3 linked regions of the Arabidopsis thaliana genome follow. The protein of the gene in region 1 purifies or fractionates together with the protein of each later gene. This does not show direct contact. Each region holds a gene or a part of one and is shown on either strand. Other genes may lie near its edges. The genes, in order: AT1G24360, AT4G00600 and Hop1.

Region 1 (3,754 bases):
AAAGACGAATATGATGAGGGAGATAGGTCACATACATTTATATTCCTGCTCGCACCTTCTCTGGCAGCAGTCTTGGAAAACGAAATAACTCCACCTTTAGCCGCTGCGTAGTTTGCTTGACCAATATTACCAATGAGACCAACAACTGACGAGATATTGATGATTCTTCCCTGCAATTAAGTATACCATGAATTATGCTTGTCATAATATCACTTCTTAATCTTATAGAAGAGCTCAAAAAAAAAAAAACGTAGTTGTCTTTTTATATATCATTTCTCCCTATGCTTCAGGGAAGGAGTAACATGTCAAAACCAATGACAAACGTGTGAGGATATAGACGGTGACATGGCATATGACAAGTAAAAAGTGTTACCCTTTTTTTCTTCATCATGATCTTTACTGCTGCCTAAAGAGAGTAAACGAGTATCAGTCCCTGAAAATCCGAGTATCAAAATTTTAGCAGTATTGCAGGAATACAAACCTGAGTACAGAGAAATACACCAGTGAGATTCAAAGCAATCACTTCGTCCCATTGTGATTGCTTCATTCGTATTAACAAGGTATCCCGAGTAATTCCTGAAAATATGTAGCCACGTCAGTAAGGTACTAAGTAAAACTTAATGGGAACCAAGGTTTTCATTTACCTGCATTGTTAACCACAACATCAATGGTTCCCCATTTGTCAAGAGCCTGCAGAAAAATAACAAAAGGAAAATGAAAAGATGTATAAGGATTAGGGAATATAAGATGGTGTACAGTTGATCACTCACGGTTTTCATCATCGCATCCACATCAGTCGCTTTCGAGACATCACCCCCAAAAGTGATAGCCTGGCCACCATATTCTTCAATCTACAGTTGCACAGAGAAGAAATGTCAGAGATTACATGAAATAAGTTGACATTGTAAACGAAAACACTATTAACTGCAGATGACATTTGTTAGCCAAAAGATAATATTTCATTTGGCAGTGTGGATCAAGAGCAAAATCACAAAACGCATTTGAGAAGCATAGGGCAATAAGAAACATTTTCCAGGTCCAGAAAATTCATTTGTCTACATTTCTTGTCCCAGAAACCAAAACTGTTTAAAGGTATTATCAACGTTAAACTCGAAAGGTACCACATTTATTTTCGTACCAACAACAACATCCTTCCATACCAAACACCTATGCATTATTTGGTCTAAACCGATATCCCGAAGCAGAAAAAGAAGGAAAGAGCTGAAAACCATTCTAGATACTTGGTGCATGAATCATGTAAATTGCAGTCTAATCCAGGGCAATGAATCACCTGTTTAGCAACTTCTTCAGCCTCTTTTGCTGACCTAGCATAATTCACCAAGACCTGCAACAGAAACAGAGTGTTTGCTTCCAGATCAGAAAATTTATGTGTAGCAATTACGGATATAAACCTATTGATGTCTCCATCACTATAATGACAAAAGAAATTGAAAGCAATCCTGTGTTAAAATCTTCATAACTCAAGACTAGTAATATCATGCAAATTGAATGCTCGAAGAGTACATATACAGATCAAATCTAACAACAAGGCGCTCCAATATTCCGAATAGTGTTAAGCCTAACCTTGCAGCCAGCTTTACCCAAGGCTAGAGCAATTGCTTTACCAATCCCTCTCGAGGCACCAGTGATAACGACCACTGGAGATTCCACTTTTTGAACAACTTCCCCTGGTGATTGCTCAGTAGCAGTAGCTTGAGCTTTCACAACTGTAATACCACAAAAATGTTGAGAATTGAGAGAGATCAAATCTATGCCAAAACCGCAAAGGAAGAGAGAAGAGGAATGAATATACCAGAGGTAGAAAACGGCTGCCGCGATCTACATCGCAGCATTCCGAAATGAGGTATCGCAGAGTGAAGCGGAGCCAATTGTCGGATTTGAGAGATCTCACGGAAACCTAGCTTCGCGACGGCTTTCAAGGAGATGAGTCTCGGTGCTGCGACGGCGGCGGCCATGGCGAATCTGTTGTTAAAGTGAATCCGTACAAGTGAACCTCGTAAAGATCGACCCAGTGGAGAAGAAGAAGAGAGAAAAGTCTTAATTTTGTCTTAGTTTCTGCTCAAACAATAATAATATATAGAATTTCAAAAAAGCGATACAAACGAAGTTATGTCAAGTGTGTAAAAGTCATGTTTATAGTTGGGGCAGGTCGTCGAATAAGAGGAGACTCGATTTCACGAATAGAACTGACCTAGGTATTCGGGTTTTGTATCGGATACGGTTCATATTTGTTCGGATGCGGGTAATTGTATAATATATAGTTTTGTGGAGCAGTGTTTAAAAAAAAAATTGGTCAAAGAAAAAAAAAGAAAGACAAAGAGGATTGAACGGTAGACGTAGACGCCATTGGAGTTTGAAAGGGAATTAGTCGACGTTTTATGGATCATTGTCGTTTCGGTGTCATTTTCTTCTTCTTCTTTCGCTAGCACGATTTAAAGCCTGACTAGATCCATCATCGGCCATGGAGGATTCTACAGCCACGGCTACGTCTTCGTCTTCCACTCATTATTTCTCCATTTTCACGAATTATCCTCTCATTTCCGCCGTCACCTCTTTCACTATCGCTCAATTCATCAAACTCTTCACCTCCTGGTACGTTCTCTCTTTATATCTCTGTTTGGATCAGACTCCGATTAAATCTATATGTGCCTGGTTCCTCAATCTTTGGTTCGAAACGGTACATAGGAAATTATAGTATACGTTAGATGAGAAAGGATCTTTACATGGTTTCCTAGATTCTGTAGGTATAGGGAACGGAGATGGGATCTCAAACAGCTTATTGGGTCTGGAGGAATGCCTTCTTCGCATTCAGCGACCGTTACAGCTCTCGCTGTAGCTATTGGTTTACAAGAAGGCTTTGGTGGATCACATTTTGCCATTGCTTTGATTTTGGCATCTGTTGTAAGTTGGATACTTTCTCTAGTTTAATCAAATTGGCTATTAAGGAATCAAGTGACGATTAATATGTGAGTGGTTTGGGTTGGTAGGTGATGTATGATGCTACCGGTGTTAGATTACATGCTGGTCGTCAAGCTGAGGTTTGTTCATTGCTGCTCTAACCTTTCCTTTGTTTCATCTTCTAACTTGACTGGTTTGATAAAAGAACCACTATTGGTTTTGTCATGATGCATTTGAGCTCTGGTATCCTGATCTCTGGGGTCTGATTCATTTTTCAGGTTCTCAATCAGATTGTATATGAACTTCCTGCAGAACATCCGCTGGCTGAAAGCAGACCTTTGCGGGAACTTCTTGGTCATACCCCTCCCCAGGTATGTAGACATATGACTTGAAAAAGTCTTTTCATATATGACTAGCAAGATATGAGATTCTTTTAGCTGTTACATTTAGCAAGATAGTTACAGAGTTAGGGGAAATCATGAGTACAAATAGAGTGCTGAAGGAATCGGTGAGGGGGATCGTGTAATTGGGAACAGAGTTGAGGGTCTTTTGGAGGCTTGTGTGAGCTGATGGAACTCTAGAACAGACCCTAGTTTGTGTTTACTTTGGTTGATAAATGAACTACTCTTTGATTTGTAACCGTGTTGATATCAATGAATTTCTAGTTCTCATCAGATTCTGTTTTCCATTTGCTGAGAATTCAGGTCGTTGCTGGTGGAATGCTTGGAAGTGCTACAGCAGTCACCGGATACTTATTTTTCAGGATAGCTACAAGCTAACGTCAAGAACATGCATAGACACAACTCTTCTGCTTCATTGCCTATTGAAGCCACTG
Region 2 (3,754 bases), on another chromosome or scaffold:
ACGTGGCCACATTCTCTCCATTCGCTCCTCTTGTATAGACTAAACCTTTTCATCCAATTGCTTACGTATTTTCAGATATCCAACTCTTAAGATTTTACTTTTCTGTTCAGCTGATGAGGCGATGGTATTTGATCAAACGGCTGTGGAACTAAGTATCATGCAGGAGATCAGAGTCGAAACTTCAAGAATGGAGAAACTAATCAGTCCTGGTTTAGCAGTAATCCTTTTTGGGGACAGAGAGTTCTCTGAAGAATATAAAGAAATTTAAACTCTAGCATCTTTGCTCCAAAAACAAACTCTATAGAGTTTAAATTTCTTTCTTCTTTTTTACAAAAGAGGGATTATAGTATTATACACCATAAACCCCGTAAAATTAAAAGAAGGTATTCAGTTACCAAAATCGGATTTAGTAGCATTTAGTTTTTTTGAATTTTAAATGTACACCATAAACCCCGTAAAATTAGTCAAAACAATTAATGTGATTTATGATAATTGTAATTAAATAAAAAAGATATTACTCGATTAGTAATTACTGATTAACTGAATCATTGATCTCATTAAACAATTAAAGAAAGATTACTCGATTAGTTAGCATTTAGTTTTAATTTTTTTAATATACTAAAAATACCAATCGGAAATTCAGTTACCAAAATTAGATTTATTAACATTTACTTTTTGAATTTTAGATGTACACCATAAACCCCGTAAAATTGGTCAAAGATTTATGATACTTGTAATTAAGGAAAGAACCAAATGCAATATATGGTTTCGGTGCAAAACCTTAAAACTGACCAACTTCTCAATTTTTTATTTAAAAACCCTACCAAATTTCTCTCTCGTTTCTCTCCGATGGCCAAGAACAAGACTTTGGTTACTCCATCAACGGTGAAGAAGTCATCTGACGTCGCATCTACGTCAAAGAAACTGTCGGGAGTCGCATCTCCAGCGAAGAAACCGTCGGGTGTCACATCTCCGGTCAAGAAGCCGTTGGAAGCCGTCGCATCAACTTCATCTGAGGAGGAGGAGGAAGATGAGCCTTCCAGCGATTCAGAGTCGGGATCGGAGAGTGAGTCTGACACTGAAGCTGAGCCGATGACTCTTGCTGCTGCTGCTCCTTCTTCTTCGAATGAGAAGAGACAAAGTGAAGGAAAACCAGAGGAGGAACGAGCCAAGACTGAAACAGAGACGGGGAAGAAGCCACTGTTGTTTCAGAGATTGTGGACTGATGAAGACGAGATCGTCTTTCTTCAAGGAATGATCAAATTTGCTAAGGATACAGGTAAGAATGTTTCCGAGGACATGAATGGCTTTTTCGAAAAACTTAAAGATTCGATTAGCTTTGAGGTGAAGACTGATCAGTTCGTTAACAAAATCCGGTCTATGAAGAGAAAGTATATTGAGAACAAGAAAACTACTACAGAGCATGATAAGAAGTGTTACGAATTGGCTGAGATAATTTGGGTAAGTGATGGTGATGCTACTGCTCTTGTGAAGCCAAAGAAGAAGAAGCTTAAGGTTGATGAAGAAAGTGATTGGTTCGAGAGGTCGTTTGTTGATGGTGCGTTTAAAGAATTGGGTCCGGGGGTTGATGAAGAGACATGGAAGAAGAATTGGAGTTTGGTACCGGTGAAGAAGAGGAAGAGGATAGAAGAAAAGGTGAAGTCCATGCAAGCTGATGAGCTCAAAACGACGTGGCAGAAGATTGACGTTGTGCATGAGATGAGATCTTTGATGGCTAAATATGTTTAGTCTTTATCTGTTTAGAGATGCATTTGCCTATGTTTTTCTTTTTGGTTTTGTGTTGGAACCTTTATGGCTTTCTCGTTTATTCATATGTTTTATGTTAAAGATGTTTTTTTGGATAACAAAAATAGGTGGTTTTTTGTTTGCATCTTAGTCTTCTTCCTTTGTTACTACAGACATGAAATCGTTAGATAATTATGATATGATATAAACTAATAATGATTCTAGGAGATAATTCCTAATGGATTTAAGATAAGTACATATCTTCTATATCTACCTTTACACACACGTTAACTTAGAAACAATCTACTTTGTTTTCTTCTGTTTGCCTAGTAAACAAATGGCGTCGATGATGTTTACTGATTGCTCCTCCTCCACAACGTCGCGTCTCATCCATTTATACAACCGCAATGGTGTTTTCCTCCCCCGCCCGAGCGTCAGCCAATTCAGCTTACGGACAACTGCGTCTACTTGGCGCTGCACTCTCTCCATTCGCTCCTCTTCTTCTCCATCTGCGATTGTAATTGATGGAAAGGCTGAGGCCAAAAAGATTAGAGATGATATCAAAATCGAAGTTTCAAGAATGAAGGAATCAATCGGTGTGGTTCCTGGTTTAGCAGTAATCCTTGTTGGAAAAGAACAAGGAATCCGCTACTTACGTGAGGAACAAGAAAATAGCTTGTGAATCCGTCGGAATTAAATCAGTCCAAGTTCGTCTAGCTGAAGATTCATCAGAAGAAGAGGTGTTGAAATATGTATCAGGATTCAATGATGATCCTTCTGTTCACGGAGTCCTTGTTCAGTTGCCTCTACCATCGGTAAACAAAGTCTATCTTCATATTCTTCATCATAACTTAAAATAAACAGTAAATTACAACGGTGTTTTGGGATGTCGTGTATATGCAGCATATGGATGAACAGAACATATTGAATGCGGTTAGTATAGAGAAGGACGTTGATGGATTTCACCCGCTAAATATTGGACGGCTTGCCATGCGTGGTAGAGAACCTTTATTCGTTCCATGTACTCCAAAAGGATGCATCGAGTTGTTGCACAGATACAACATTGAATTCAAAGGCAAAAGAGCAGTTGTTATTGGAAGGAGTAACATTGTTGGTATGCCAGCTGCTCTGTTGCTGCAGGTAATGATGATTCCTTCTTCAATATGCCATTTTTTCTGGTTAGGACAACATTCTTTATCGATGTTTATTTTCTAAATGTAGAAGGAGGATGCAACCGTTAGCATTATCCATTCAAGAACCATGAACCCTGAAGAACTCACAAGACAAGCTGATATCCTAATCTCAGCTGTTGGGAAACCAAACATGGTCAGAGGAAGCTGGATAAAACCGGGTGCAGTCCTCATCGATGTTGGGATTAAACCTGTTGAGGTGAGTGGAATTTTTTGACATATGGTAGTATAATGAATGATCAAATCAAATACAGTATGTGAAAGTAATATGAATTGCAGGATCCAAGTGCTGCCGGTGGAGAGCGGTTGGTTGGAGACATTTGCTATGTGGAGGCTAGCAAAATTGCATCAGCCATCACACCTGTTCCTGGTGATGTAGGACCAATGACCATAGCCATGCTTCTATCCAACACTTTAACATCAGCCAAGAGAATTCACAACTTCCAGTGACTTCAAAGATGATTGCTCGCCTTTTTTTAAATAAACAAATCTTACTTTGGTTTTTTGAAGCCAATGATTTTTGCTTAGCGTTAAGTCAGAAATAATATTATTTCGGTTCTTGTTCTTTGATTTTAGAGGTTACCTTATCCAGATTGTGAGTTCCCTGATTATCTTGCGGCTTTGCTAGATAATTATTTGGATCTTTATAAGTTTGTGTGTGAGCTTTTGTTCATTTTGGGAGTAGAACTACCATGAAGCAACTGTGGTGATTGGCAAAAGCATTTTTGCTTTATCAAATGTATCTTTTAACGTAATGTAAGTCTTGGAAGATAGCTTAAGGATGAAGTCATTACGATTGATGTTGGAAGTCATTTTGG
Region 3 (3,754 bases), 4.5 Mb from region 1:
ATCTGAAATTTAAATTTTTTTGAACGGAATTGTTTTTTTAATTCATAGGAACAATTTTTTGGAACATCAATCAGCATATATATGGGTTTTTTTGGGGTCAAATTCAACAGCAAGCATGCATATGGTTTATAAACTTTATATATATGATTTTATTGTCAACCTTTTTTTTTTGGACAAACTGGTTTAATTGTCAACCTATAGATGATATTTCAAGAAAGACTGAATTCTATTTTGAGTTGACTGTATGAGTATGTATGAGTGTAAAAGTCAGCCATTTTGCAGAAACAAATATGCACATCGACGACGACCCTCATGATTTCATAGTTGGCCAGCTCAAGCCGTGTGTCAAATTATTACAAGTTACATTTATTATATTTTCGTTTATATATGCTTTAGAGAATGTAAGATGTAAATGGAAATGGGAGATATGATTGCATTTTGGTTTATATGTCTTCTTCGGAACAATAATACGAAATTATAGTAGTAATCATAAGATAAAGAAATTAATGAACAAAAATTTAAAAAGACTCATATTAAAATAAAGAGGGTAACAAAAGATAATGAAAATAACTCTCTAGATCTAAGCATGATGTGTCTATATACACCGACATTTTTTTCTTTTAATTAAGTGTATTGAAAATAAATTAAATAAGCCATGATTTTGATTTTGCAGTTTCGATTTTGATTTTGATTTTATTTAAAATGCTATATATGAGCCTGGTAACAGGAATGGTCGATGCAGTTTATTTCAATCTCAAGAGCTTACATGTGAAATACACAACTCAATAGCTTTCACTATTTCTTGAACGAAATTGACGAACAAGTAACAAAAAGAAAAATCGAACCGGAGAAGAAATCGTTGGTCTACCAATAACCGGAGTCTCCACGACAGTACAAAACCGACACCGTTTCTTAGTAATTTTATTCTTAAGATACAATATAATTTTATACTCGTATCCAAACAGTCCACACACAACCCCAAAACAAAAGTAAGAAAACTTGTAGACAAAAGTAAACAAAAGTAAACAAAAGTACGATAACAAAACTCTATACTCGTAGACAAACTTCACCGAACGTATTTAGCTAAAGAAAACTTGACCTCAAGATTTTCTTGTCTTCTTTAATCCAGGTGCTTGTAACTATGATTCCATATTACTAAAAACATGCATGTCTCCTTAGCAAAGAAAATCACAAGTAAGAAATGTATCATAATGATGAAAAATGCTATGAGACTGGTAACAAGAAATGGGTGATGAAAACAAATTCAATCTCAAGCAACAGTTCTCACTTAGAAGTGAGATCAGTTCAGGAGCTTTCACTATTTCTTAAATGAACTGAAGAACAAGTGAATACAAAAACAAAATCGAACCGGAGAAATGAAACTCTAAACAATGGAACCGGTGAATAAATCGTGGGTCTGCTGATAACCGGGATTTCCACGACAACACAAAACGACATCGTTTTATAAGATTCTTTATTATTAAACGTAACGAGGATAATTATAAACCCGGACAAATATCCACTAACAAATTCTATCCTCATATCCAAACAGTCCCTCAATTTCTCAAAACCCCAAACAAGTGTTCTTTTCTTATAGAGAGTAGTCTCCCAAGAAGCTGCAGAGACTTGCAAAAATCTCAGATTCAAACAATGGCAGAAGAAGCTAAAGCTAAAGGAAACGCTGCTTTCTCTTCCGGTGACTTCACCACGGCTATAAACCACTTCACCGAAGCCATAGCTCTTGCTCCAACCAATCACGTCCTCTTCTCAAACCGTTCCGCTGCTCACGCGTCGCTTCATCAATACGCCGAAGCTCTCTCCGATGCGAAAGAGACGATTAAACTCAAACCGTATTGGCCTAAAGGTTATAGCCGTCTCGGTGCTGCTCATTTAGGGTTAAACCAGTTTGAGTTAGCCGTCACTGCTTATAAGAAAGGTTTAGATGTCGATCCGACTAACGAGGCGTTGAAATCTGGATTGGCTGATGCGGAGGCGTCTGTTGCTAGGTCACGAGCTGCACCGAATCCGTTTGGTGATGCTTTTCAAGGACCGGAGATGTGGACGAAGCTTACGTCTGATCCTTCGACTAGAGGCTTTTTGCAGCAGCCGGATTTTGTTAACATGATGCAGGAGATTCAGAAGAATCCTAGCAGTCTTAATTTGTATTTGAAGGATCAGAGAGTGATGCAATCTCTTGGAGTTTTATTGAATGTTAAGTTTAGGCCACCGCCGCCTCAGGGAGATGAGGCTGAGGTTCCTGAGTCTGATATGGGTCAGAGTTCTAGTAATGAGCCTGAGGTTGAGAAGAAGAGAGAACCGGAGCCTGAACCGGAACCGGAGGTGACAGAGGAGAAGGAGAAGAAAGAGAGGAAGGAGAAAGCTAAAAAGGAGAAAGAGCTTGGGAATGCTGCGTATAAAAAGAAGGACTTTGAAACTGCTATTCAGCATTATTCTACTGCTATTGAGATTGATGATGAAGACATCTCGTACCTCACAAATCGTGCTGCTGTTTATCTTGAGATGGGAAAGGTATGATTTTCATATGTGTAATGCTCTTTTGTTTTGTCCCTTTATTTGCTGATAGGCTAGAAGCCTAGAATGATGATTTGCTTGTTATGTGCTACAATGGTGATTAGTTTTTAATGTCATTGTGTTTTGATTCAGTACAATGAGTGCATTGAGGATTGTAACAAGGCTGTGGAAAGGGGTAGAGAGCTTAGGTCAGATTACAAGATGGTAGCTAGAGCTTTGACTAGAAAAGGGACTGCTTTGACTAAGATGGCCAAATGCTCGAAAGACTATGAACCTGCCATTGAAGCTTTCCAGAAGGCTCTTACAGAGCACCGTAACCCTGATACGTTGAAGAGACTTAACGATGCGGAAAGAGCAAAGAAAGAGTGGGAACAGAAGCAATATTTCGATCCTAAGCTAGGGGATGAAGAGCGTGAAAAAGGTGATTGCTTTAGCAATTAGTCTCTTTTTTTTTTTTTGTGTGTGTGTGTGTGTGTGTGTGTGGGAAAAGAAAGCTTATAGAACCCTGAAAACAAGAATGAATTAGCGTTTTTACTGCTGCTGTTGTGGTGTATTTAATACAGGTAACGATTTCTTCAAGGAGCAGAAGTATCCTGAGGCCATAAAACATTACACCGAAGCAATCAAAAGGAACCCAAATGACCATAAAGTAAGGGCACTTCATCATATTTATATGTTCTTAAGGTCTTCTACAATGATTTTCTATTCCGACTGTTTGAGCAACTCGTACTTTTTTTGCACCTATGTTAGGCATATAGCAACCGAGCTGCTAGTTACACTAAGCTAGGTGCAATGCCTGAAGGACTAAAGGATGCAGAAAAGTGTATTGAGCTCGATCCAACCTTCTCTAAAGGATACAGCAGAAAAGCTGCAGTCCAATTCTTCCTCAAAGAGTACGACAATGCGATGGAAACATACCAAGCGGGTCTCGAGCATGATCCTAGTAATCAGGAACTTCTTGACGGTGTTAAAAGGTATATACACAGATACACAGAGATTATTAACTTTTCTATCTATTGCCATGAATTTGTTTAATGTGGTTCAAATCTATTCTGCAGATGTGTACAACAAATCAACAAGGCTAATCGCGGAGACCTTACTCCTGAGGAATTGAAAGAGAGACAGGTTAGTTACATTCTGATGATTCTCATGTTTTCTCCCCCCATTTGTGATTGAAAGAAAACCCGGGAAGCTAACTTGGATTTCTCCTTTTCTTTTGTGT

The links.
Region 2: the proteins of AT1G24360 (region 1) and AT4G00600 fractionate together in Arabidopsis thaliana (co-fractionation; one large-scale study listed by BioGRID). This does not show direct contact.
Region 3: the proteins of AT1G24360 (region 1) and Hop1 fractionate together in Arabidopsis thaliana (co-fractionation; one large-scale study listed by BioGRID). This does not show direct contact.

The regions. Positions count from the first base shown.
Region 1 is NC_003070.9:8,639,042-8,642,795, reverse strand, and holds the start of AT1G24360 (NAD(P)-binding Rossmann-fold superfamily protein), read right to left. Parts: upstream 2,215-3,754; 5' UTR 1,977-2,214; coding exon 1,814-1,976; intron 1,728-1,813; coding exon 1,585-1,727; intron 1,346-1,584; coding exon 1,292-1,345; intron 852-1,291; coding exon 771-851; intron 691-770; coding exon 645-690; intron 577-644; coding exon 482-576; intron 407-481; coding exon 374-406; intron 171-373; coding exon 36-170; intron 1-35. Other genes in the region: AT1G24350 (Acid phosphatase/vanadium-dependent haloperoxidase-related protein), read left to right, coding at 2,483-2,613, 2,766-2,922, 3,009-3,059, 3,198-3,290, 3,374-3,427, 3,624-3,698.
Region 2 is NC_003075.7:254,952-258,705, reverse strand, and holds AT4G00600 (Amino acid dehydrogenase family protein), read left to right. Parts: upstream 1-2,095; coding exon 2,096-2,354; intron 2,355-2,463; coding exon 2,464-2,561; intron 2,562-2,649; coding exon 2,650-2,886; intron 2,887-2,967; coding exon 2,968-3,135; intron 3,136-3,215; coding exon 3,216-3,386; downstream 3,387-3,754. Other genes in the region: AT4G00610 (DNA-binding storekeeper protein-related transcriptional regulator), read left to right, coding at 763-1,749. UniProt on the Arabidopsis thaliana protein: Catalyzes the oxidation of 5,10-methylenetetrahydrofolate to 5,10-methenyltetrahydrofolate and then the hydrolysis of 5,10-methenyltetrahydrofolate to 10-formyltetrahydrofolate.
Region 3 is NC_003070.9:4,170,455-4,174,208, forward strand, and holds the start of Hop1 (stress-inducible protein), read left to right. Parts: upstream 1-1,580; 5' UTR 1,581-1,650; coding exon 1,651-2,529; intron 2,530-2,664; coding exon 2,665-2,953; intron 2,954-3,095; coding exon 3,096-3,181; intron 3,182-3,282; coding exon 3,283-3,506; intron 3,507-3,590; coding exon 3,591-3,657; intron 3,658-3,754. UniProt on the Arabidopsis thaliana protein: Mediates the association of the molecular chaperones HSP70 and HSP90. Mediates nuclear encoded chloroplast preproteins binding to HSP90 prior to chloroplastic sorting.